Linked DNA regions of Cricetulus griseus. The protein of the gene in region 7 interacts with the protein of the main gene of each other region in a pairwise test. Links are inferred from orthologs where the notes say so. Each region holds a gene or a part of one and is shown on either strand. Other genes may lie near its edges. The genes, in order: Gem, Arhgef3, Psmb1, Tuft1, Cchcr1, Cwf19l2 and Trim27.

Region 1 (4,203 bases), on a different chromosome or scaffold from region 7:
AACTGATCATTAGAGCGGTAATTTCCACCTCAGAATATAAAGCTATTACCTGTGGTTGTATATCTTTTTATAAACTATGTCTAGAATTAGAGAAGGATTGAATAAATAAATAGTCAAAATAAGACCAAACAGAGAAAATCATCTGGAAAACCTATCAGACTCTACACAGGGCATCTTTCATCATTTTTATATTTCAGTTTTTTTAAATTATTATGTTACTTCAAGTATAGCGTTTGACCTAATTATACTTGTAAATGCTTCTAATATCAATGGGCACAAGCTAATTGATGCACTCCAACAGGTTTTTTTTCTTTCCCTGAAATCAGTTTGGTTTTATGCATAAACACAGAAAAGGTGTCTGTACTGGTCAGCTCTTGAAAAGTAGTCCAGGTCAGGGTCCACCTCCCTGGACCCCGAAGACTTGACCTCAGAAAGTCCCTCGATGGCTCAGGTCATAGATCTTGGTGCTGTGTACCTTATTCATTTCTTTTCTTTTGTGTCCTGAGGACATATGCTGGGACTTAGGGTTGGCCTCTGCTACCCATCTCAGTATCAAGTATCTCATTTTCTCCTAATTCTGAAGATACATTTTGTTTTGGTTTATTATTTTTTGAGACAGAGTTACACAGCCCAGGCTAAACTCAAAGCCACTATGTAGCAGAAGATGACCTTGAATTCCTAGTACTTTCACCTCTGCCTTCCCAGTGCTGGAATTACAAGTGTAATTCTAATTAACTGTAATTCCAATTCTGGCTTCCAATTCTGCAGAAAAATGACCCAATCACTTTTGCTTTTTCAGCTTACAAGACAGAAGCCCACCTACCTCCCAGGACCTCACAGTCACTGTCCATGCTGTCATGTACACCTGCGAAGATGTTGGCCAGGGTGGACTTGCCTACCCCTTGCTCCCCTATAAGCACCACTCGGTAGTAGGTGTTTCCTGACTCAGAGGAGATGACAGAGTCTGTGGAGTCGGAGGACCAGCTCTGTCGGCAGTGGTCTTCAGGAGTGGTAGAGCGGCAGCTGCGGAGGTTCCAAGGGTGAGGATCCTTCTGGACCATCAGATGCCTGCCATCAGCAGGGATGCTCCAGCGCTGCTGTGGCTGCATGCCCACAGTGCCCTGGCGCATGGTGACATTATTCAGAGTCATTGTGGGGTCCTAGGAAGCAAAGCAGTCAAGATGCCAATATTAGCAAGGATGAGCTAGGCCCAAGGAAGTCCAAATACTGTTGTCAGTGGCATTCCATTTGATTGGTATGAATTAAGCATCCTTTTTTTTTTCTTTTTTTTTCTTTTTTTTTCTTTTGGTTTTTCGAGACAGGGTTTCTCTGTGTAGCTTTGGAGCCTATCCTGGCACTCGCTCTGTAGACCAGGCTGGTCTCGAACTCACAGAGATCCTCCTGCCTCTGCCTCCCGAGTGCTGGGACTAAACGTGTGGGCCACCAACACCCAGCAAGCATTCTTAATATAAGGAGCACCCATGAAGCAGTCCCCAAGGCCCTAGCATGCAAATCTTACACACACACACACACACACACACACACACACACACATACACACGCAGCTTCTTAGGCAGGCTGTCATTTGCATTTCCAATAACATCACCAACTGCCTATAAGCAACCTCCATCCTTAAAGAAACTTTGAAAATCCCACTGGGAGGTGGCACAGAGGCAGCTGGAAGGAACCCACTGCCTCCAGAAATGGCTTTACCATCAGCAACAAGTCAATGTTGCTGGGGACCAGCTGGCCAGGTTAGCTGCTCTTGTCTAAACATGGCTCTTAATTGCACCAGCGTCTTGGAGCTTTTGGGGCCTCAGTGGGAGGCACGTGGCAATGACATCACTCCCCTGGCTGGACCGGACAGGCACTTTGGGGGAACTTCCATGTTTAGTAAAGTTGCCCTGATGTTCTCCAACTGCCTGAAGAGAACATTACTTGGGAGTGGGGCAGTTTGTGTTTAAGGTTTATGCCTTACCTCTGCCCTCTTGCCCACAGATACTGTTTAGCATACTAGCCCTGAGCCTAGTCCTTCTCACACTGGCAGGACCTGCTCACATTTGCACACATCAACTTGTGCAGAAAGGGCTTCATTCTTAACGAACCTCGTCTACACCAAAATTTATTTAGTTAGCTCAATGTTCCACCCTCTTGAGGTAAATCAGAAGGTCAAAGACTCAACGAAAAGACACTCAACAACTTCTTACTACTTTCTCCTTGCAACACCTCCTTGCTTGACAAGTCTGTTCTGTCAAGACTTCCCTAGAGAACACAGAAGCAGTTAACTCAGCAAGCGCCCCGCGCGAGCGCTAGGATCGCACTGAGCTCACACACCCTACTCCACACCCCAACTCCTAAGCCACTAGCCAGAACCAGTCGGTTTCTTTTTAAGTCATAAAAACAGTCCCTGATTGATGGCCGCCTGGCCACCTAATCCTTAAGGTGACACTCCTCCGGGACTGAATCAAGGAACCCCCATGAGAAGTATGTCCTCTGCACCTGAACTTTTCTCCCATGGCAGAACCTCCGGCACAGACCTCATGGTCCGGGGGCTCCCTTCCCAACTTAAAAAGTTCAGTGGCCCGGAACTCCCCTCCCAGACGCGGCTCCCACCGCGACTGCCCCTCCGCGATGCCCCCTTACTTGGTTGCACCCGGCCACAGGGTCTGCAGTCGGTCGGCACAATGCCTGCTGCCTGCTGCAATGCCTGCCGCCTGCGATGCGATGCTGGCTCCGCAGCCCGAGACCGTGTGGTATCAGCCGGCAGCGCCGCCTCCTAAAGCCACCTCGGCCAGCCACCGCCGTTTATAGCACGCCCGGCGGCCCCGCGACAGGGCTTTTCCGTGACGTCAGCGCTCCCGCTGGGAGGGGGCGGCGCTGCAGCAAACTCTTAAGTTGCAGCCACTTGGCTAAATCAGTTACTAGCAGTCATGTGATTACCCTCGCCCCTTGAGGGGAGAGAGGGAAAAAAATGACAGTTCAGTCCTTGGCCTCCTTGATTTTGTTTTATTTTCTTTTTACCAGGTGGACACTGGAAAAATACACTTAGTGCTACTTAATCGCCCTTCCCAGCAGGGCACTTGTGAGCTGTCTGAATAAAGGATGGGGAAAGAGACAAGCCTGAGTTGCCGCGAGTCCAGCTTTGCCAAGAAAGCAGATCAGCCTGAGTGAGCAAGACTTCTGCCTCCAGGCTACTCTCACACTGGGTGGGCAGGCCAGTTTTACAGCATGCTCTGAGAGGCAATGGGCTCTCCTGCTTCCCATCACCTTCTCTCTGGGGTGGGGAGAGGGGAGCACCACACTACTTTGTTTCCCTCTTCTGGCTGGAGACCCAAAGAGAAGGGGCCAGAGGAAAGAGCTGGGGAAACCTTGGAAAGGGCAGTTTGGCTCCAAACAGCTTGCGATAAACATTCCTGTTCTGGCCACAATGCTGACGTTTCTCAATCAGAAATTTAATCACATCCCAATTGGTGCAACTCAGAACCTAGCTGCATGGCTGGAACTGTGCCCTGGAGCCTGGGCTTCCCAGCCGTGGGGAGATGATCAGGCCCAATCCCCTGAGAGTCCTGGTAGTGAAGGACACAAGATCGCAACTGCTATTAACATTTGCTAGGATTTCCAAAAGCCTGTGGTACTGGTGGGCCCGGGGACCTTGCTCCTTACCACAGTCGTAGATTGAGGAACTAGAGATGCTGCAGGATATCAGGGCCGGTGGCAGGGGCAGCATTTAGGACCTAGTTTGAGTAACTTTTTACCTGCACCACTAAGTGACCTCTTCCCCAGGACCTGGGTATTTCCCAGGGACATGGGCATTTCCCACATGCTGTGTTTAGAGTCCATGCTAGCCTGTCCAACACATCCATCTGCTTCTCTAGCCAACTTCTGCTCTGGGTTGCCTGGGAAGCAGCCAGCAACACCAGTGTCTCTTGCAGAGGCTGTGGGTACAATGGATTATTCCCAGTTTTCCTTGGGCATCTATCTGATTTGGGAATTATGCAAGTGACTGGCTTCTGAGGTCTGTCAAGGACCAAGCTGGCAAAGGTAGAATCCACCAAGTAATAAAAATGTGGAGTGCACAATTTTATTTATGCACAAGGAATCTGAGAGCCAGGTGGATGAAGGCCACTCGGAGAGGAGATGGCCAAGCTGGAAGTGCATTCTGGGTACCACAATGCTCTGGATACTGCTCTTCATCCACCAAGT
Region 2 (2,412 bases), on a different chromosome or scaffold from region 7:
CTGGATGAAACCACAGGGTTCAAACAAAGCTTCCTCCTTTACAAAGTCAAACCTCAGAAACCCCCAGAGATGTTTTCATGTATTCTGGTTGAATAACACGGAACCCGAGTTCACTCCAAGGGTTGGACTTTCCTAGCTTTTATTTGAATGTCATCTCAATACTCTGCAAGGCTTTCTCAATTCCAGATCTTCAGCTACTGTGTTGAAGAGCTACAGGAATACTAGAGAAGCATAGGACAAAGGACTTGTCAACGCACTCCACACACAACAGTAGTTTAGAGATCCTTCCTGTTTTGAAAACTCCAGAAGGATAACTCAAAGTAACTTGTTCACTCCCTCTCCACTCATCCAGATGCTTATGAGATAAAGCAATGGAGGAAAGGCTGCTGCAGACTCCAGCTGACACAGAGCATCAGTGGCTTGTTACAGTACTAGGGACAAGACACAGACAAAGGGACACATGTGCACAGGCACAGAAGTATTACAGCGTGCCTCTCCAAACTGTTCATGTGTGGAATGCCAATACTGTACAGGTAAGACATGGGCACAGCCCTCTGTCAGACACTTTCCTCTGGTCTGCTATTTGCACAGGAGACATCTGTCTGTTCCATCCGCTCACATTCAAGGCTGACCTCACTGGTGTCCATACTGCAGTCCGACTCACTGTCCGATTGGTCCATCTGCTCAAGTTTTGTTTCTCCTTGTGGCTCCCTGTTCTCAGTGCCAGGACCCAGGAGTATTCCCTCAGAGTCCAGCAACCCTGCCTGCCCAGCAGCAGACAGAACTGTTTCTTTGGCTTGCCGGATACAGTTGAGCCACTGCTGTTTGTTGAAGGTGTCATTGGCTTGTAGTGAGTGGGTTTGACTTTGGGATCCATTTTTGAAACTGACTCTGAAGAAGTTTTTAACTAGAAATGAAGAACAAATAAAAAGAGAGTCAATTGGTAGGTATTTGCCAAGGCTAACGATACCACCCATAGCGGCACTAAGCCCTGGGACCCATATCAGACACTGCCGATACAGAAAGTCTCCTACTGATGCAGGACTCAGTCAGTTCTATCCTGATGCCACTCTCAATTGACTAGAGTGACACAGGCCTAGCTCAGTTTCCCTGAAGTGATTGGCTACTACACCTGCCTAAATATTAGAAGCACTTGGAGAGGACATGAGAGGGGAGAAGTGATGCAATTATATTTTTATATTATTATTATTATTTTGGTTTTTCTTTTTTCTTTTTTTTTCTTTTTTTTTTTGTTTTTTTTGAGACAGGGTTTCTCTGTGTAGCTTTGGAGCCTATCCTGGCACTGGCTCTGTAGACCAGGCTGGCCTAGAACTCACAGAGATCTGCCTGCTTCTGCCTCCCAAGTGCTGGGATTAAAGGCGTGTGCCACCACCACCCAGCACAATTATATTTTAATAAAAAATACAGGCCCTATCTTAGAAAAACAAAAGATAAATAACCCTGTCAATCTCTGTCTTTTCCGTTATTATCAATTTTATTATTATTTGGAGACAGAGTCTCACTAAGTAGTTCTGGCTGGCCTTGAACTCACTACGTAGACCAAACTCACAGAGATCCACCCGCCTCTGCCTCCCAGGTGCTGGGATGAAGATCCTAGGCATGTACCACTATGTGTAGGGAGTAACCCTAGCCCCGCCCAATAGTCCTGGGGCAGGTACCAGGTGGAAGGACATTACATGTATGGATACTCAAGGAAAGAACGTAGCTATAACCATCGAACAAAAAGAACGTGCTATACGGTAAAAATTTACAGCTGTCTCTCAAATAACTCTATGTCTATTCATTTCCTGGTCCCTATTCAACTAAATCGAGACTGGATTTAGAGTTGGGTTTGGCTTTCCTACTCTAAAATCCAAGTATGTTATTTAACAACATTTAAAAGTTTCTGTGTTATATCAAGAAGCCAATTGCTATAATACAGAATAAATAAAGAATAAGAGGACTATCTTTGTTTTTCTTGGCTTTTCTTTTACACCCTCTCAGAATCGTTGTTAGTCAAGGTTCATCAAGGTACCTTTTCCAGTACACATACATAAACAAGCGAACATTTCTCTGATGACACTTATGTTTGAGTCCCATACAGCCATCAAGACCCAGCCTGACAGCAATCCCTACATGCTCCGGAAAAGGAATTGGACTACACCTTCCTGACTACACTGGATTCAACTCACTCCGTTTCGACTGACACTCCAACCAGAACCTCGAGTAACGACTTCAATCAAGTTGAGGATTTCAACGTAGATCTTCAATCAAACAAATCATCTAACATGGACTAGACATAACTCATTAGAGACTTTCCCTGTACTAGCGTTTTTTTTTTCCACAGGGCCCCCACATGACCATCTTCGTCCCGTTTCAGCAGGAAGTAACCTAGAAGATGCTACGCCCCCG
Region 3 (4,266 bases), on a different chromosome or scaffold from region 7:
GATAAAATGAGCTGACAACTATAAAGTCCACCTGACACTTGACTGCTGCATGACTGGTCTAGTAAGTGAACAACCATCACTGTGGCATATGGTGGGGCTGTACTGTATGACTAAGCACCTGAGCACTGTTACTTAAGGGAGAGGCCTATTCATGCCACTTAATAGCTGTAAGACTTTGGATAAATTCTTCATGATGGTAATGACAGTACCTGTTGTGTTACATAATTCACATTAAAGTACCTACAATAGTTAACCTTCTAGGAAATAAACACCCAGGAAACATTACCCAGTATTTTACAGAAACCAGTTCTGTACTAAAGCAGAGAGGATGACATTCCACAAACCATGAACAGCAACAGAAGGTAAAAAGACATTACAAGCAACTTAATTGAGGTGATCCTTTGTGTAACTAGAAACATACACACTGTGATGAACTGTTGTAGAAGATCCCAAGTGCCAAGCTAAATTTTACAATTTTAGCAAGGAGTCCCAAAGCTTATACAATCAAGAATGAGAAAAGTTCCATTTGAAACAGGTTTTCAGACAATTCTGGCAATAATACAGTATATGAAATGGGATAGCAATACTGTTCCAGTCAGAGTGATGAGATAGGAAGCAGGATGAAGAGGGAGAAAAAGGAAAACACATCGGCAACGTATGCAACTGAGTTTTTATAACTACCTAAATATGTTTTGTGGGAAAAACAGCTAAAACATCCCAAGATAGGCAGAGTGATGACATAATCACAAGGGGCACTTTTTAAGGAGCAGAAGTGACTGAAAGGGAATAACCACCCTGCTTGTTTTTATACTAACATGAGTTACGGTGAAAACAGAAAATGCACTTTAGAAATGTTTTCCCAAAGAAGTCAAAATGTAGGGGCCTTTGAGAAATAAGGTTACAGAAATGGATTTTGGAATTATGTTCCCAGGGATTAGGCATGTAAAGGTCTTCAGTAACAAAATCTGGAAGCTACAAAGAGAAATTAACACCATCTTTTGAACCAGAGGCTGCTTGTCCGGCTAGTTGCAAAAATTCTAAAAGGAAGGGGGGCGGGGTAATAGAACTGTAAGTAACTGTTTGGAAAGTAACAGATGAAGAGGAACTACAGGAGGTTAAAAGGTAAATAGTGAGTATTGCACTCAGAACACTATTAACAAGCCTTACAATGTAAGTACTTAGTGTTCACATGCAGAGTTAAGACCAACACTGGAAAACGAAAGTTAAGAATTTAAAACTGGTTCTAATTCGAACAAGCTCTTAGACAAAGCTGTTTAAATGCCAAGAGCCAAGGACTAACACTATGAAATATTCCCTTAACTGCTTGCAGCCAGCTTACAAAAATGTAACCACCTTGAGTCTCTTTCAACATATTATTTCAAGAAACTGAAAGGAACCCACATAGCACACACTCACATTTGTTCTTCAAAAGCCACAACCAAGGCTAAAATTAGTATTTCACTGCCTATATAGTGTATTTTCAGCATCCATAAAGACATAATTAATCTTTTTTCTTTTCTTTTTTTCTTGAAACAGGTTTCTCCTTATAGCCCTGGAACTGGCTCTGCAGACCAGACTGGCCTTTGCCTCCCGAGTGCTGGGATTATCCCAACTGTTTTTCGTTTCTGTCTCCTCCTCTTTCTTCTTCTTCGTTTTGTTTTGTTTTTCGAGACAGGGTTTCTCTGTGTAGCCCTGGCTGTCCTGGAACTCACTCTGTAGACCAGGCTAGCTTCGACTCACAGATATCCATACCTGCCTCTGCCTCTGGGATTAAAGGCATGCGCCACCACCACTGCCTGAATGTTTTTCTTAACAAGCCACATTTTTTTGATAATTGGTTGTTTATAGGTATAAAATTGATGAAAACTACCTATATTGCCAAAGGTCCTAAATTCGAGGTGAAGACATCCCTTCGAACAAAGCGGATAATTTAAAGGCGCAAGCAATTTCAGAGTAAGAACACGAACACGAACGAACACACACACACACACACACACACACACACACACACACAGAGAGCGGGGGGGGGCAACCGTCTAAGGCCGGGGACACAGCTCAGCAGAACACGACACACACACACACACAGGCAACCGTCTAAGGCCGGGGACACAGCTCAGCAGAACACGAACACACACACACACACACACACACACACACACACACACACACACACGCAACCGTCTAAGGCCGGGGACACAGCTCAGCAGAACACGCGCGCACACACACACACACACACTCACACATAGTCAACCGTCTAAGGCCGGGGACACAGCTCAGCAGAACCTGCCCAGCAGGCCAAGTCGCAGAGTAGAACAAAACAACCCCTATTTCATCCCTGAACTTAAACCAAACGAGCATTAAGAGAAAAAAAAAACAAAACAGTGATCTACAAAGCCACCAGGACAAATCAGTGCTGAGGACAGGGCCCCCCTCGCCCGTTGGCTGTGGGGACGTGTTCAAGCCCCAAGAGACGACAGTGTTAGGAGCAGAGGGCTAGGGTGGGCGCCTGCCCTGAGGAATGCGGGAAGCATGCGATCCCGAAGGCGTCCGTGCAGGGCTCCGGGAGCCGGGCTGCGGAGCGCCCCGACAGGCTGCATCCCCACAGCCGCCCGCCCGCCCCAGGTGAGCCCAGCTTTTACCCTCCGTTGAAGGCATACGGCGAGAAACGCATCTGCACAGGGACGGCGGAGCCGTGAGGCCCCATGCCCAGCTCCCGCTCGGGGTTCCCGAAAGCAGCCGTGGAGAGCATCACACCGCGCTCCTGCTGTCTCACAGCAAAATGGCCGCCGGGACAGGTCCACTTCCGACCCGACCCGCCCCTCCCACCGGGCTCCTCTAGCCCGCACTCGTCGTTGCTCTTGGAGGTCTGTGCCTATGCCCCGCTACATATCCAGCTTGGGGTCCACCAATTAATTCCAGGAGACCTGTTTTCCAACCCCAAGAAAACATTCGATTCACTCATGGCCATACCAAAAACAAACAAAAAAACAAAAACTAGTTGCAGAGCAATGACAGCTCCGATTGTCACATTGGTGAAGTGGCATTTGAGGAGTTGCAGCTCCTGCTATGTTCAAGTCCTAGTGGTCAAGATGCATGGTCAGCTGTGTGGTATACGCAGCCACGCGATCCAGGAAGCGATACTAGGTTTCGCCAGCCAGAGCCTGATGGATCGTATTAACTTGACAGAATCTAGAATCACCTAGTAAAACCTCGCGGGCATGCTTATGCAGGTGATTTCAGGACAGTGTAGCTGAGAAGGGAAAACCCACCCTAAATATAGGTGGCACCATCCCATTGCCTGGCTTTCTGAACAAAAAGGAGGGGGAAAAAAAGAAAGAAAGCAAACTAACATTCATCTCCTTAGACTTCCGGTCTGCGGATGCAGTGTGACTCCCCCCTTCTCCAGACGTCAGGCTTCCCCATGGTGGACTGTACCCCTCAAGCCGTATGCCAAAAGGAACCTCCTTCTCTTAAGTTGCCTCTTGTCAGGCCTTTGTTAAGTTTTCTTAATGTCTTAAGGTTCACTATTCTTCCAAGAGAGAATGTTTCATTTAGAAGAAAATAGGTAACCAATACTATTGTACTTATTAGAATCCATGCAGAGGTCAACACCCTAGGCACATAACACACACAGGTAATATCCATCTCTCACACACACCCCTAACCTAAAGGAGCTTATCACCTCGTTGATAGTGCTAAATCCAAGGGAAAGGGAATAAGCAGAACTTCCTTTCTGCCTAGGTGAACCATATCAAGAAGAAATCAAGATACGCTGGAATTCAATCAAACGTTAAGAAGCAACCTAAGAGACAACTGCTGTTTTCTTGGAACAGCCCAGAAGTCAGCTGTTCGTCGCTGAGCTAAAATGTAAATGAATTTGTGACTCCACCTCCCCTGTGTCGTTGTCGTTCTTCAGATACCAGTTAACTTTCACTGAGGGTATGCTATTCGTGTCATTGAAATCACAAATTTCTAGGAGGCAGCTGCTACTACCATTCAGCTTTATGGCGTTAAGTGGAGGATGTAGGGAGCTTGCCGAGGGTAACACTGTAAGTGCAAAATCCTATTCGACTGGCAGGGCGTGGTAGCCTACGCCCTTAATCCCCTCGCTCCGGCGGCAGAGGCAGGAGGATCTGAGTTCGAGGCCAGCCTGATCTACAGAACGAGTCCCAGGACAGCCAAGGCTACACAGAGAAACCCTTTTTCAAAACAACAACACCCATGGGAGGCCAAGGATGTAGCTCATTGACAGATCGCTTGCTTGAG
Region 4 (3,500 bases), on a different chromosome or scaffold from region 7:
ATGTAAAGAAGGGCTGGAGAGATGTCTCAGCAGTTAAGAACACTGGCTGGTCTTCCAGAGGACCCTGGTTCAATTCACAATAACTACATGGCAGCTCACAACTGTCTGTAACTTCAGTTCTGAGGGACCTGGCATCCTTGCACAGACATATGTGCAGGCAAAGCACCAATGCACATAAAAATAAATAAATCTTTTTTTACTATTTATTTATTTATTTATTTATTTATTTATTTATTGGTTTTTTGAGACAGGGTTTCTCGTGACTTTGGAGGATGTCCTGGAACTAGCTCTTGTAGACCAGGCTGGTCTCGAACTCACAGAGATCCACCTGCCTCTGCCTCCTGAGTGCTGGGATTAAAGACAAGTGCCACCACCACCCAGCTGATCTGGTATTTAATAAAAACAAAAACATAAACCCCTGGAATTTAAAGTGGTGATGGTTCCACAACTCTATAACAACAGTAAAAACCACTGATTGACTATTTTAACTGAGTTCACTGTGTCATGTGCAAATTTTCTAACTCTATATTTGTTCTAAAGTTAGTTTTAATTTTAAAGTATTTTTTATTTAAAATTTATTTATTTATTTAAACATGCATTGGAATTTTGCCAGTGTGTATATCTGTATACCACATGTGTCTGGCAGCTTGTAAGGCATTAGATCCCTTGAAGCTGGAGTTACAGACAGTGTGAGCTACCATGTAGTTCTGGGAATCAAACTCAGGTCCTTGGGAAGAGCATCCTGCTTTTAACCACTAATCTATTTCTCTAGCCACATATTTTTAAATTTTTAATTATGTATATGTATGTATGTCTGTATAGGAGACTGATGCAGGGTATTTGTTCACACTGAAACCCCAAAACTGCCAATAAAGCTTACTTTGAATCAGAGGACAGAGTTAGCAACTAGCTGACCAAAATTAGCCATAGAGGTTTTGGAGAACCCAGGATGGATGGATGGATGGATGGATGGATGGATGGATGGATGGAGAGACAGAGACAGAGAGAGAGAGAGAGAGAGAGAGAGAGAGAGAGAGAGAGAGAGATTTATGGGGGCCGGAGAGATGGCTCAGAGATTAAGAGCACTGGCTGCTCTTTCAGAGGTTCCGAGTTCAAGTCCCAGCAACCACACAGTGGCTCACAACCATCAGTAATGAAATCTGGTGCCCTCTTCTGGTGTGCAGGCAGAACACCGTATACATAATAAATAAATCTTTAAAAAAAAATATATATATATATAAAGGAAAAAGAAAGATTCAGGGGTCCTTTTGGATCAGGGAAGGAGAGAGAGAGGAGGTCATTGGTCCCTTCTCCCCTTCTTCTAGTGTTTTTATCCCGAATTTTTATTAATAATAAAACAATATAAGTAAAAGTTTCAGGAGACTGTGCACATGAGTGCAGATGCATGGGGAGGCCAGAAGAGGGCATTAGATTCCCTGGTGCTGGAGTTACAGGCAGTTTTGAGCCACTTGACACAGGTGTTGGGAACCCAACTCAGGTCCTCTACAAGAGCAGTAAGCACTCTTAACCACGGAATCAACTCTCCAGCTTCTTCTAAAGCTATTTTTTAAAAAGAAGAAAAACTGTTCATGCCCATGCCTGGGGCCAGGCTTGGCCAAAGTTGCTCACTGCAGGGTGGATTCTGTGTGTTAGGACCCCTGCAGGAGATGACCAGGAGCTAGCATCTTCTTGATCTCTCCAGTGGTTGTATAAGCTGTCAATCAGCAGCTCCCTTGGTGTACCTTCAGGGTGGGGATGCAGGGGGACAGAAAGAAAAGGAGAAAGTGGACTAAGCTCACCTTAATGATCTCTTCATGTCCATCATGGGACTCCACCAGTTCTGAAGCCAGAGAATGACCAGAGGAGCGATCAGACACCATGGCGTAAGTGTTCCTGCCCGCCTGCCAGAGAGACAGAGAGAAGCGACTTAGAAACCACACAGCAACCAGGACCTCCTGCCCTCCACCCACACAGAGCCCTACATGAAGCTTCAGTCTCATTTCTTTGCTCTGCACCCCCCCCCCCAAGAGCAGCCATATAGCAACAAGGACACCAGGCAGGCAATGTTAGTAGAAAACTTGAGTTAGCTTCCATTTTAGTGGGGTCTCCCACTTCCCAAAGCACTAGGCTGAGCTAGCTGGGTGGGTCTGAAAGGAGATGCTCTCAGGCTTGCAGCAACAGACATGGCTCCAGACAACACTAGGGTGAAGGGTCAGCAGCAAGGGAGAACTGGCTTGAGAGGACGCCTTGCCCCAACAGACACCGTGATACCTTCTGGGCTATGTGCTCAAGTTCATCTCCTGTCAGCTCACTCTGGAGGGTCAGCCTGAGAATGTCCACGCTGCCCTAATAATGACAACAACAGCAACAGTGACCCCTTACCTTTAACACCTACAAGAACAACCAGCTAAGATGTACTCTCTGTCAGGCCTTGTCCATCACCAAGTCAAAGACAAGTCCAGAGAAATGCTCTCGGCTTGCCCACTATAAGGTCAGCTTGGGTACTGGCGTGTCTCTGACAGTACCCTTTGTCCACTACACCTGACACTGACTATATAAGCATACGGTTCCATGTGGCCCCAGGGACCTACCGTGATTCTCAGATCACAAGAGCACAGGGTATCAATCCTCCTTCCCCAGAGAACAGAGAAATTATCCCCAGACAGTCATCTCCAAGCCAAAATTCTTGTTTGTTTGAAAACTGGGACTCATGTTGCCCAGGATAGCCTTGAACTGCTGAATTTCCTGCCCCCACTTCCCCCAAGCTGAGATTACAGGTGTACATAAATGCACTCGGTCTTAAAGCCAGAATTTCTACCCCTGGCAACCAGCTGGGAAGTTTTTGAAGCCTAGGCTATCCTTCTGGAACCAAACAGTAAGACCCTAAATTCCAAGTTAGGAATGGACACACACACACACACACACACACACACACTCACATAATTTCATCACTTAACAGGCTGAGGCGGGAAGACTATCAATTCGAGGCCAGCCTGGAGTATACAAGTAAGACGTGTCCAAAAAACAAAATAAGCAAATAGCAAACAAAGAAACAAAAACCTGAATCTAACTAAGCCTCTATTAGCCATATAAAAATGATCCAAATTATAAAAGGCAAGATTATGGGCATTTATTCTGAGATCAGCCTAATTTCAAAGGACAAGGGAGACATTCTTTCCTAACTCAGGGTAAATTAAACACCTGTGGGGACAACTAAAACACCTTAGAAAAGAAAACAAAAGTGAGAGGAAAGTAGGAGGCTAGAAATTTAGGATGCACAAGGGACCTAGCCATTCTGAGTCTCAGTTCGAATGGCAAAAAATAAGGTGTCGACAGTCAGAGTGTGAGGGCATAAGGGTGACAACACCTTTCCAAGGGGTTGACTATCAGAGTGTGACTCCATGAGGATGACAACACCTCTCCAAGGGGTTGACTATCAGAGTGTGACTCCATGAGGATGACAACACCTCTCCAAGGGGGTTGACTATCAGAGTGTGAGG
Region 5 (4,182 bases), on a different chromosome or scaffold from region 7:
CTTTTTTGTTTTGTTTTGTTTTTTTCCCCAGACAGGATTCTCTCTATGTAGCCCTGGCTGTCAGGGAATTCACTCTGTAGACCAGGGAGGGAGTGGCCTTGAACTCAGATCTGCCTGCTTGTCTGCCTCTCTGGGATTAAAGGCAGGCCATGCCCGGCTCAAAAATAAAATCTTAAACCACATATGCCGAGCATAGCCAGCTCCAGTGGTGTATGCCGGGAAAGGCCCTTTTAACTAAGAGCCAGCATGTCACTTCGTTTCACAATGGCTTCTGGGCAATCCATCTCCTCCCTCAGACATTTACACTCCTTCTTTATTGTTAACTATATGTTTTTACTTGATAACTGTTTTTGTTATATATAATTTTACTATGTTAAAGTAAAAGTAAACCCTTCTTTTTATTTAGACAGAAAAGAGGAGATGATGGGGGATGCCCTTCAGTATATATGTTTCTTTTATTGGTTGATGAATAAAACACTGTTTGGCCAAAAGAGGCAGGAAGATAGGTGGGGCAGGGAGACAGGGAGAACCCTGGGAGAGATGCAGGGAGGAGATGCCATGTAGCTGCCAAAGGAGTAACAGGTCTGGGCATTTTCTGGTAAGCCAAGACCACGTGGAAATACATAGATTTATAGAAGTGGGTTAATGATGAAGAGAGAGCTAGCCACCAAGAAGCCCTAGCCATTGGCCAACTGTTTTATAACTAATATAGTGTCTGTGTGTTTATTTGGGGCTGAAGCGGTGGCAGGACCTGGAGGAAAAGAAACTCTAGCAACACTTGTTAATTGGGAATTTAAGTCCAGAGCGCGCGCTCTCTCTCTCTCTCTCTCCTCTCTCTTGATTTTCTCCAGGGCATAATGGTATATGCAGTGTAGGTACCAACAATGGCCTACAGAAAACCACACAAGTTATGGAACCCAGGGCTGCTGAAATAAAGGAATGTGTGTATAAAGGATCATTAGCAAGTCTGAGAAAAAGGTGATTGACAGATCCCTACCTGCCTCTCTGCCCTGGCCCCTGCCCATCTCCATAGACATCCTGTTCCCTCATGGTCACTGTGGGCCTCTGAGAGTCCAGCTGCCGCCTCTCTAGGACATCTTGGTCAAATGTGGATTGGAACTGGGGAATGTCTGAAGCCCAGGTCGGGGCCATTCTCGGCCGAGCTTGGAAGTGGGAGGGAGGAACCAGTCCAGCAAAACCTGAGGGGGTGGGTCACAAGAGTAAAGACTGTCAGTTTCTCAGAGAGAGAGAGGAAGACGGAGGGAGGGAGGGAGGGAGGGAGGGAGGGAGGGGGAGGGAGGAAGGGAAGGAGAGAGAGAGGGAGAGAAAGAGAGGAGAGGGAGGGAGAGAGGGAGAAAGACAGAGGCAGAGAGACACAGAGAGACTTCCCAGCCTCCTTGATTGGCCTTACTGACCTGAGGGAGACAACATCTCCACTCTATCTGAAGCCTCTCGATCTTGTCCGCAAGAGTGTAGGTTCCCCTGGACAGTAGGAGAAACAAGGAGACTCCAGTTCAGTTTTCAGGCCACCTTCCAAAGAGGAAGTCCTATAATAACAAAGCCACAATCCTTCAGTTACTGACAGATCTGCCCAGCTCTGAGCTTCTCTCTCCCTACTTCCCTAACAAGGCAGACTTGCTTGTCCCGAACACACGCTCCTGACAAAGGAACCAGGCAACAATCATGGGGTAAATGTACCGAGATGGGGGCCAGGGGATGCTCTTGGGGATTTTGCTTCTACTACAGGATTGTGAGTGGTGCCTTTACCTTCCTCCTTAAGTGTCTACGATCCCTGTAGCTCTGGTCTGGAGGTGAGCGGGCCTGTTGTGAACCCCGTCTCCACAGTTCTCGCCATGGTATGGTAGGGACGTTGGGAAACCCATCTAGGCACCACCGCGCCATGATTTCTGGGTCATTTCCTACAAAAGCGTTAGCCCAAGGCCTGGCACCAGAAGAATGGGGCCTCATGTAGGGTTAAGCGGCTTCCCTAGGATCCCCAGGGAATGCAAGCAGCCTGGAGCGCGTTGCCAGGCAGCCAGCTTCCTGTTATCTCATCGGAGTCTCCCTGCAGCGGGCCTCAGTTTCTCTCTATCCCCTCTGCTTCCATTCCCGAAGCCCTTCGCTGCTCAGAGTCCTGCAGCATCTTCTTTGTCCAACTCCCGTCCGAACTCAAATTTTTTGTTTGTTTGTTTGTTTTCCACTCAACGAGATCCCTACACGCTTCTCTTCCTAGTCCTACTCTGCATTTTTCTTGACGTTATGGTCCCGGTCGCTCGCTGTCCTCAGGTCTGCCCTCTCCTCTCCTGCACACACCCACGGGCTCATCCCCCTCACTAGGACCCTGAGCTGTAAGGCTGCCCCGACCTCCTCATCTGTTCTTTCACCGGGCTCCTGCACCCCTCCTGCCCTGTGGACCCCCTCCACCCTCCTGAGCACCCCCTCTCAGGCCCCTTTCCGCCCCCAACCAACCGACTCCGGCCGAACGCTCCTTACCCAGCGCGAGGTCCGCCTTCTTGCCACGCCCCTTAGCCCCTGGCTTCCCCGCTAGGCTTCCCGCCCTGAGCACGCATGCGCGCGGCGGGTGGGGTTGGCGGGATGCTCTAAAGCCCCAACTCGCCCCGCCTGCCGGAAGGAGGAAGGAAGAAGAACGGCGCACGCAGGCACACTGACTCCTCCAGGCCTTCTCCGCGCCCTGGCGGCCCCGCCCCATCCCGGGAACCCGGGAAACCTGCAGGCCAATCAGAAACGGCGGAGGGCGGGAGATGGACGGCCCCTCCCTGCGCATCGTCCAGTACAGCGGAGGAGGGCGAGTCAGATGGCCAATCAGAGACAGCCTGGGGAGGGGCGCGGGCTCGCAGGCGCGAAGCTGGACCCGGGAATTCCGTAGGAGGAGTCTGCGCGGTGCGCGCCCGCCGGCTCGCCCGCTCGCCCGCCCGAGCCGCGCCCTCCGGAGGGCGGCTTCCTGGCTGTCAAACCGCAGCGGGAGCGAGGGGCACAGGGTGTGGAGTCCTTCTTCGGGGCACCCCGCAAGCGCAAGAGGAGAGGGTGAGCTCCACCTTGTTGCAGAGTTAGGGACCTGTCTGCGCCGCCCTTTGTGGGTGACAGCGGATTCCCTTCCCTCGGGGCAGGACAGAAGGGGTGCTCTACCTGGATTAGGAAGTTTGACCTGTAGGCTTCCCTCCCGGCTCCTGCTTACACTCGAGGGGACACGTTCGTGTCGCACGCACGTCCGTGTAGCGGGACCTCCTCACCCCGCTGGGGTGTCCCCAGCTGCCGCTTAAAGTAGCTTTGCCTTGAACAGATTGCTACAGCCTCCCCGGATATTCTGCGGCCTGAGGACCCGGCATCACGGAGGTCCCACAGGACGTCTTCCTGGTTTTGCATCGCGAAAGGGCTTCTCCGGAATTGCTTTTGAAGTCTCATCTTGACAGCCGCTAGCTACAGCGGTTGCATGCGTGTCCAGGCCTCTGGCGCTCTTGGAAATCTGTGTTTCTCAAGTTGGCATTACCCACAGTGGGGCTGCTGACGTCAGACAACTGAACCGAAGCCCCCGGTGCATGGCCTGGGAGTAGGAGAGGTGATGAACTGCTGAGAAGCGGTGCAGAGGGGAGCACCCCCCCATGCTGCCCTGCTTCCAGCTGCTGCGCATAGGGGGCGGCAGGGGCGGTGATCTCTACACCTTCCACCCCCCGTCCAGGTCAGGCTGCACCTATCGGTTGGGCTGCAGGGCTGACCTGTGTGATGTGGCCCTGCGGCCCCAGCAGGAGCCGGGCCTCATCTCTGGGGTCCATGCATTGCTGCACGCTGAGCTCCAAGGGGACGACTGGCGGGTCAGCCTGGAGGACCACAGCAGTCAAGGTAAGCGGTGAGCAGGCAGCCCCAGGATGGCATGAGTAGGGGAGCCTCTGGGACTCCATACCTGCCTCCCAGAGTCCCTGTCAATCTCTGGTAGAGCAGACAAGCAGGATCCGGTTTGATCTGCCCATGAGAGCTGTGCAGGACTAACCTGCCCGGCTGCTTTAGCTCACACAGGGCTAGGAGGGAGGCGCTGGGGTGTCATCAGTAAAGTGGACATTCTAGCACTATGCTCACACTTGACTCAAGTGTCCAGGGTTGCTGAACCTCCTTGTTCCCATTAAGGCGGTGTTCTAGTGACCTAGGCATTCCTTCCCAGCTCAAGGC
Region 6 (4,218 bases), on a different chromosome or scaffold from region 7:
ACCCCAATATTTTGTCTCAGAAAAAAAAAAAATCTTCTTAAAAAGATAGGATCATCTTCACCAAAGAAACTAGGAAACATGAAGGACTCTAAGGGATAAATGGACCCCAGGAATGGGAAGTGGCATGAACTCCTGAGCTAATTGGGAGCACAAGGGTAGGGGAGAGGGAACTGCCACAATAAGATCAAGAGAAGAGGAGTAGAGGAGAGGAAATAGAGGAGCAGAAATATTGAGTCAGGGGAAGAATAGAGGAGAAAGAGCAGAATGAGAGATGCCATATTAGAGGGAGCCACTATAGGTCTGAGAAGAGATCTGGAACTAGGGAGATCTCCAGAGACCTACAAGGATGACATGATCTGACAATCCAGGCAATGGTGGAGAGGACAACCTAAAAACCCTTCCCCTAAAATGAGATTGATGACTACTCTTTATGCCATCCTAGAGCCCTCATCCAGTGGCTGATGGAAACAGAGACAGACATCCACAGATACACACTGAGCTGAAATCTGGAATTTAGTTGGAGAGAGGGAGGAATGAAGAACAAAGGGGTCTGTACCAGGTTGGAGAAACCCACAGAAACAGTTGGCCTGAACAAGGGGGAGCACATCGACCCCAGATGCTAACTGGGAGGCCAGTACAAGAGTGATCCAGATCCCTGAACATAGATGTCAATAAGGAGGCCTCTGCACTCCAGGGAGCCTCTGGTAGTGGATTAGTATTTTTCCCTGGTGTAAGAAGGGACTTTGAGAGCCCATCCCACATGAAGGGTTACACTCTGGCCCTGGACACATTGGGAAGGGCCCAGGCCCAGCACAAGAAGATTTGGTGGACTTTGCAGAGCCCCCGTTGAGGGCTACCCTGCCTGGGGAGTGGTGGGTGGATGGGGTGGGGGGTAGGTTGAGGTGGGGGAGGAGGGATGGGGGTGAGGGGAGGGAGAGGGAGAAGGGACTTACATGTGAAACAAGCTTGTTCCCTAACTTGAACTAAGGAAAAAAAAAAAAAAGATAGGATCATACTGCTAGTTTCTAGTCAACAGTCAACAAACGCCAAACAATGCAAGGTTTTTTCTGCTTTCTCATCTACCTCTCAAACATCAAAGCTGAGTTTGGTCCTATATGCAGATCCCTATAAAATTCATTACAGTTTATAAAGAGTTTCCTCCCAAAACTTCTGGAAATACCAGTCAGACAATAATGAAGAATATTATTATATCTACTTTGAGATCAATGAAAAATCACAATGGTTTATTTGTCCGAGACCAGGTACTCACTCCCATAAAAATATGACGATCATTACTCATTCTTCCTATCTTTTCTATTCTTTATATACATTTAAACTTATTAAAACTTCTTCCCCTTAAGCCCCCCACCAAATTGTTACCAAACACTGTTGTTCTTCAACTACAAATTTGCCCTTTGTGCAGTCACAGTTTGGAAAAACTTATCAGATAATTCAATATTTACTTTTTCCATTTTTTATAAATTCCATATATTTCAATATTAATGAGAATTCTGTTTACCAAACTTTTGGGGGAGACACACATTCTGAGTCTCTTATGTTAAACAGTGTTTCAATCAGTCTGTCTGGTGTTGTGTCTCACTGTCATGAAAAACCGTAATAAACCATTTTAAATGCCCAGTGAAAGACAGACAGACAGTGGAGGAATGCCCACTGTACTCAAATGTTTCCCACTTCCAATAGGCCGAAGAAATGACTCGGTCTGCAAGACAACTGGTGTCTTCAAATGTGGTACAGTACATAGAAACTGAGCAATCCACACTCAAAGCACAAGGACATTTGCTCAGTAATGTTCATGGCAGCATTACTTGTAATAGCCAGGACTTGGAGTCAACCTGGATGCCCCTCAATCGAAGAATGGACAAGGAAAATGTGGTACATTTAGACATTGGAGTACTACTCAGTGATTAAACCAAAAAAAGAAAGAAAGAAAGAAAGAAAGAAAGAAAGAAAGAAAGAAAGGACATCTTGAAATTCGAAGGCAAATGGATGGAACCAGAAAAAAAAAAAAAATCCTGAGTGAGGTAACCCAGACCCAGAAAGACAAATATGTACTCACTCATGATTGGATATTAGACTTAAAGCAAAGGACAACCAGCCTACAGGCCACAACCCCTGAGAACCTAGAGGACCCTAGGAAAAGGAACTAGACAAGATCTCCTAAGTAAATAGGAAGAGTAGGGGCAGGAGGGAGAGTGGAAGGGGAGGGGAGAGGGAAGGAGAGTGGGGGATGTATTGCTCAATGTTTTTTAAACTGGGCAAAAAAAAAGAAAAAGAAACCTAGCGATCCAGGCGGCAGAAATGTCAAGAATAGATGACTAAAAGCTAAGGAACCCAATCACATCTCTCTGCAAAGGGAATGAGCAAAGCGAGCGGGCAGAGAATTTAGGAGACACTGCTTTGGGAAAACAGCTGACAGCCTGACATGGAGAAATACCGACGTGAGGAGAGGAGTAGGTGGACTACCTCCCGGAAGTGTCAAGTCCTGCAATTCTAAGTAACTTTCCGAGATCTGTCTAAGAGAAAAAACGACAGCATTTCAGGAACGAAAGACGGATTCTCTGGGAGAGTGCTGGCCTGAAGTGCAGGAAGCGCTCAGTGTGAGCCCTGGTCTTAAAAGGAGGAAAGAAAACACTCCAAAGCGGAGATACCTGGCGTAACACTTCGGCCCTGGCAATGCGGGTCCGTTCTTTTCGCTCTTCGATACTCCTAGCACTTTCAAATCTTCCACCCAACGCCGCCATAGTTGTAGCTGTCATAAAGCGAGGAAGCCGTCCGGAAACCTCAGTTTACGACTGTCGCAAAGCAGGAACCAAATCCTGGCCTGTTACTATGCCAACGGAGCAGGCGCAGATTGAAAGGCGGCAGAGCTAAAGGTTTGGTGGAACGTTGGAAGTCCGCCCCGCGGCGGGCGTTTTAGGTGTGCGGGGTTCGCTGAGTTAATAATCAGCATGCGCAATGATGTACCTTGCACTGTGCTAGCTCCTGTCTTATCAAGACTCTTACTATCCAGATATCTGCGTTCTTGCCTGATTTCCTGTGATGGTGCACCAGGCTAAAGGGACGCTAATCAGAAAGTCAGGAGAACGTGGGGGGAAAGGGAAAAAAAAAATTGCTCTAAGATTCACTATTTTTTTTTTGTTGGTGGGTGTTTTTAAATATATTGGAAACGGAGTTGGAGAGATGGGTGAGTGGTTTGCTCTTGCAAAGGACCTAAGTTCAGATCCAAAAGCCTTGTGGAGGTTCACAACCATCTGTAGCTCTATTTCCAGGGGACCCACCGCCCTCTTCTGGCTTCCACAGGCACTTCACCTCCTTGGTGTACTTAGATAAAGGCAAACAAAACACTCACACACACATTCACACACCCTGTAGAGGTTGAGAGTGTTGCACAAGCCTGAGTGCAGGAAGAGTTCTCATCATTGGGTGTGAGATGCATTGAGTGTAAGATTCTCTCTCATGAAGAAAGCTGGGTGTTGGTGGCACAGGCCTTTAATGCCAACACGGGAGGCCGAGGCAGGCGGATCTCTGTGAGTTCAAGGCCAGCCTGGGCTATAGAGCTAGTTCCAAGACAGCCTCCAAAGCCACAGAGAAACCCTGTCTCTAACCCCCTCCCCCAAAATAAAAAAGCAGGGACCTTATGTTTACTGCATCTTGCTTAAATAAGTCTCTGTATCAAAATACTAGTTCTTATCTGTGCTACATATGATTCGTTCACAAGGATGGTAATAGGAAAATTGAGATAAGCCATTTCTCTTTCTTTTTACCTCTGGCAACTCAGCAGAATTTAAAATGCCAAACTTCAACGGTTACACCCCTATGCCCCCCACCAAGTGCTATTGTTGATTTGATTCATTACATTTAGAAGGCTGCAACCTGCACAGATGTACCCACTGAGAGTAACCAGCCAATACAGAGCTGATTGGAAGGGCTGCTGCACCTGCTCACCTAATACCAAAGGCACCCATAGGAGCACACCATGAAATATACTGCAGCTGGTCTGCTGGTTTTCAGTAACCTGGCTTCTCTGTTAGTCAGAACTGCTGTGAAAGTTCATTTTGCTGTTAAGAAGCAATACTCACGAGCCTTTGTATTGCAGAAGAAATGAAAATGTCAGGAAACTAAAAACTAGATTTTGATAATTTCCCTCCTGACCTTCCCTGTTCCATATCCCAGCATGATGACCAGGCTGATATTGTT
Region 7 (3,500 bases):
CTGATCAGCTGCCCAAGTATTAGGTTTATGGGCATGATTATTATGCCTTGCTCATGGAAGGATTTTTAGGGCTAGAGGACTTGGGAACCCTGGCTATACAGATAACATGTGTGAAGTTGGTAGAACACAGTATCAGACTAAGTCACAATCAAGAATTCCACCTTCCAGAGAGCCGCCAGACTCTGCAAAGGCAAAAGTTCAAATGCACGACATACATATTTATAACTCTTAATTTGTACAAACCGTCTGCTGTAGAGGCTGAGTGGTTCAAATGACACCCACTGCCATCATTAATTTATGTGGGATTTCTAGTTGGCCAGGGATTTCACACAAGAGTCTTTGAAGTGTCAAAGGAAGAGGAAGAGAAATAAACAAGAATCAGAGTGAGGAAAGCCACTTCTGAACTAGCCACTGAACTAAATGTAGTTGTGGAGTGCAGGGATGGCACATCTATAATCCCAGAGGCTGAAGCCCTGCGGCAGCAGACTGGTGAGAGTAGGCTAGACTGGGCTATACATTAAGACTGTCTCAACAAAACCCAAACTAAAACAACAATAACAATAATCAATAATGTGAGATAGGGAAACATATGCATGATGTATGTGTGTGAGGGATGACATAAATCATACTGCACAGGTAAGAGTCTGGTCTCTCCTTACACCAAGTTCCAACTTCCAAACTCAGGTCAACAGGTTTGTACTTACTCAGCCATTTTGCTGACCTGACCCTCCTGAACTCTCAATATACTCAGCTCTTTCCAAGAAATAAAATATCAAGAGCCCAGTAGATAGGCAAATTTACCTTGGATTTTCTCCATATCTGACTGCATTTTTTCTAAGGACAAAAGAGAAGAGATTCAGTTTATATTACTCTGTTTCCATTGGGAAATACATTCTCAGATGACAATAACATACGGATATCAGAATATAAACCCACTTCATCTCCTCATATTACCTGTAAACTGCTTCAGACTTTCTGTCAAAAACAGACATTTTTGGGCAAAAATGTGGATTTTCTCTTGTAGATCTGGAGGTGTGATCCAGGGCTCAGGGATCCTGATTCTTTCAGCCCTAAAATAAAACAACAAACCCCATATGACTCCTTTCCCTCAATTCTCCAACTTCCTAAGGCCCTGGCCAAGACCTAGCTAACCTGTCTCACACTGTAGGATCAGCTACTACAAGCTTTTATACTGTTCCTCTAAATCACTGTTAGAGAAGAAAGTGAGATATAACCTTAGTCATTTTCATCTCTCCCAAAGCACTGGCTCATGGCTTTTCAAATACTAAGCCTTAAGTGGGTGCATTGACTCTTCCCTGCAATTCCAGTCCTTAGGAGGCAAATGCGTATAAGGGATCACTGCTTGCTTCAGGCCATCTAGGGTTACAGTGGATCTTGCTTTAAAACTTACAAAACAACTAGGCAGTGGTGGCACATGCTTTTAATTCCAGCACTTGGGAGGCAGAGGCAAGCAGATTTCCCAGTTCCAGGTTAGCCTGGTCTACAGATCTGAGTTCCAGAGTTACACAGAGAAACCCTGTCTCAAAAAACTAAAAGACAAAAACCAAACCAAACAAAAACAACAACAACAAAAACCCAAACCAAAACAACCTTCCAAAACAAAGCAGACAGAAAAGAAACTTTTCAATATCAAAATAAATTATGAAGCTGATCTTGCTAGAAAGCAAAAGTTTCCATGACAAAAAAACCTTATGGGAAAATATCTAGAATTTTCAGATTCCCAAACAGAGAGAATTCGAGAATACCATCTTTAGAAAGAGAGGTGCGTGTGAGGGATAAGACCCAATTTCCTAACCACTAAAAAAGGGACTGTATAGCACAGACTTGCCTTCTCCCATCTTCCACACACATTCTAACTTATGGCTGGTCAATCTTCCACCTGTGACCTTATAACTGAATTATAGCTAATGAGAGATTAAGAAGCATCTAATAGAAATTTAAAGGGTCAGGGAAGATAGCTCATCAGGTAAAGAATCTGCAGCTAGAGTATTCCCTAAACTCACACTGTAAAAAAAGAACCAATCAATTTATCCTCTGATCTCTGCATGTGTTGTGGTGTGTACTCATCCATCATGTGTGTGAGACCACCCATGTACACACACACAAAAATGAATAATTTTTCTTTAAATTTGCATAAAGATCATTTTAGCATTGTAGCAGCTTTGTTGGTCTAAATGAGGACCACACTGCAAGCATGGTAAAATGGGAAGGAATTAGCCACCATACCAACTACAGAGCTATCTGTAGCTATATACACATTATAAAATTGTTATTATGCTTAAACCTTAGGTCAATGAAACTTTAGATTTCAGAACTCATAGAGCCAAATCTATTTTTTTCCTATAAAAAAAAAAAAGAAAAAAGAAAAAGTAGAGGCCCAGCAGGCAGTGGTGGCACACACCTTTAATCCCAGCACTGGGGAGGCAGAAGTAGGTAGATCTCTGAGTTTGAAGTCATCCTGGTCAATTGAGTTCCAGGACAGCCAGAGCTACACAGAGAAACCTCTCTCAAAGAACCAAAAATAATTAATTAGTTAATTAATTATGAATTTATTTTTATTTATGTGTATATGTCTGTGTGTGTCTCTGTAAGGTTGATGGCTTGCCATCCCAGGCCTGCATCACAAACCAGAAAATAGAGCAGGGCACATGGACTAGTGGCAGAGCGTATTTCTGGCATGTGAAAGGCCCTGGGTTCAATACCTGGTACTACAGAACAGGGAAAACCAAAACTAAACAAACTTCAAAAAACCCCCATACAAAACAAAACACAAAACTGGGCATTATAGATCATGCTTATAATTTCTGTGTTAAGAAGATGGAGCAGGAGGATCAGAATTCATGACTAGCCCACTCTAGAAGACCTTATCTCAAAACCAAACCAAAACAAACTGAAATCTATCAGACAGAGACTTATTTTCTTAGCCACCCAACTGGGAATGGTAGAACTTCCAGTCCCTCTGCATCTCAGGAGCTCTGAGAACTATAGTTATCTGCATACATCTCCCAGCCAACCCATCAAACTGTATTTTCCTTTAAAGGACTTTAATCAACCTCCAAATTCAGCTTTGTCAAAGTCAGTCTCATCCTTTAGGCATTCCCATATTAAATATGGTAATCTTTCTAAAGCCTGAAGCTATCCTACAGCTTTAACTGTCTTGTCTTCTTGCCTGCTCCAAAATCTCCCTTTCCTCTGGTCTGCTCTTCCCTCCATTTCTAGTGCATGGCTAAGGCAAACACATGCCATACCACTGAGCTACACTCACTTTCCACTTGACAGCACAGTAGAGAAATGACTATAGCCAGAATCCATGTGACCCATCAATGCATCTTCCTTAGGCCTTATTTCCCCCATTATACTAAAGAATGAGATAAGAAAATGGGAAAAATCTGCAATTTGTAGGAAATAAGAGTCATAATCTGCTCTTGTACTCTTGTCAAGCTTTGGAAGTAGTGCCTTCACACCCAAACCACAGCACC

The links.
Region 1: the proteins of Trim27 (region 7) and Gem interact in binary tests that used the Homo sapiens proteins (3 or more experiments, as listed by UniProt). The two-hybrid records come from large-scale screens. The link is inferred for Cricetulus griseus from reciprocal best matches to the Homo sapiens genes TRIM27 and GEM.
Region 2: the proteins of Trim27 (region 7) and Arhgef3 interact in binary tests that used the Homo sapiens proteins (3 or more experiments, as listed by UniProt). The link is inferred for Cricetulus griseus from reciprocal best matches to the Homo sapiens genes TRIM27 and ARHGEF3.
Region 3: the proteins of Trim27 (region 7) and Psmb1 interact in binary tests that used the Homo sapiens proteins (3 or more experiments, as listed by UniProt). The two-hybrid records come from large-scale screens. The link is inferred for Cricetulus griseus from reciprocal best matches to the Homo sapiens genes TRIM27 and PSMB1.
Region 4: the proteins of Trim27 (region 7) and Tuft1 interact in binary tests that used the Homo sapiens proteins (3 or more experiments, as listed by UniProt). The two-hybrid records come from large-scale screens. The link is inferred for Cricetulus griseus from reciprocal best matches to the Homo sapiens genes TRIM27 and TUFT1.
Region 5: the proteins of Trim27 (region 7) and Cchcr1 interact in binary tests that used the Homo sapiens proteins (3 or more experiments, as listed by UniProt). The link is inferred for Cricetulus griseus from reciprocal best matches to the Homo sapiens genes TRIM27 and CCHCR1.
Region 6: the proteins of Trim27 (region 7) and Cwf19l2 interact in binary tests that used the Homo sapiens proteins (3 or more experiments, as listed by UniProt). The two-hybrid records come from large-scale screens. The link is inferred for Cricetulus griseus from reciprocal best matches to the Homo sapiens genes TRIM27 and CWF19L2.

Annotation. Positions count from the first base shown.
Region 1 is NC_048595.1:125,837,883-125,842,085, reverse strand, and holds the start of Gem (GTP-binding protein GEM), read right to left. Parts: upstream 2,801-4,203; 5' UTR 2,644-2,800; intron 1,161-2,643; 5' UTR 1,152-1,160; coding exon 824-1,151; intron 1-823. UniProt on the Homo sapiens protein: Could be a regulatory protein, possibly participating in receptor-mediated signal transduction at the plasma membrane. Has guanine nucleotide-binding activity but undetectable intrinsic GTPase activity.
Region 2 is NW_023276807.1:192,292,872-192,295,283, forward strand, and holds the end of Arhgef3 (rho guanine nucleotide exchange factor 3), read right to left. Parts: intron 908-2,412; coding exon 558-907; coding exon of another isoform or gene 506-557; 3' UTR 501-505; downstream 1-500. UniProt on the Homo sapiens protein: Acts as a guanine nucleotide exchange factor (GEF) for RhoA and RhoB GTPases.
Region 3 is NC_048595.1:294,438,057-294,442,322, forward strand, and holds the start of Psmb1 (proteasome subunit beta type-1), read right to left. Parts: upstream 2,801-4,266; 5' UTR 2,750-2,800; coding exon 2,640-2,749; intron 1-2,639. UniProt on the Homo sapiens protein: Non-catalytic component of the 20S core proteasome complex involved in the proteolytic degradation of most intracellular proteins. This complex plays numerous essential roles within the cell by associating with different regulatory particles.
Region 4 is NW_023276806.1:61,778,974-61,782,473, reverse strand, and holds part of Tuft1 (tuftelin), read right to left. Parts: intron 2,347-3,500; coding exon 2,272-2,346; intron 1,902-2,271; coding exon 1,800-1,901; intron 1-1,799. UniProt on the Homo sapiens protein: Involved in the structural organization of the epidermis. Involved in the mineralization and structural organization of enamel.
Region 5 is NW_023276806.1:229,456,643-229,460,824, reverse strand, and holds the start of Cchcr1 (coiled-coil alpha-helical rod protein 1), read right to left. Parts: upstream 2,801-4,182; 5' UTR 2,786-2,800; coding exon 2,494-2,785; intron 2,488-2,493; exon of another isoform or gene 2,470-2,487; intron 1,943-2,469; exon of another isoform or gene 1,920-1,942; coding exon 1,768-1,919; intron 1,548-1,767; exon of another isoform or gene 1,483-1,547; coding exon 1,416-1,482; intron 1,200-1,415; coding exon 998-1,199; intron 1-997. Other genes in the region: Tcf19 (transcription factor 19), read left to right, coding at 3,621-3,858. UniProt on the Homo sapiens protein: May be a regulator of keratinocyte proliferation or differentiation.
Region 6 is NC_048597.1:118,076,406-118,080,623, reverse strand, and holds the start of Cwf19l2 (CWF19-like protein 2), read right to left. Parts: upstream 2,801-4,218; 5' UTR 2,778-2,800; coding exon 2,670-2,777; intron 1-2,669.
Region 7 is NC_048596.1:243,539,132-243,542,631, reverse strand, and holds part of Trim27 (zinc finger protein RFP), read right to left. Parts: intron 1,071-3,500; coding exon 955-1,070; intron 835-954; coding exon 802-834; intron 1-801. UniProt on the Homo sapiens protein: E3 ubiquitin-protein ligase that mediates ubiquitination of various substrates and thereby plays a role in diffent processes including proliferation, innate immunity, apoptosis, immune response or autophagy.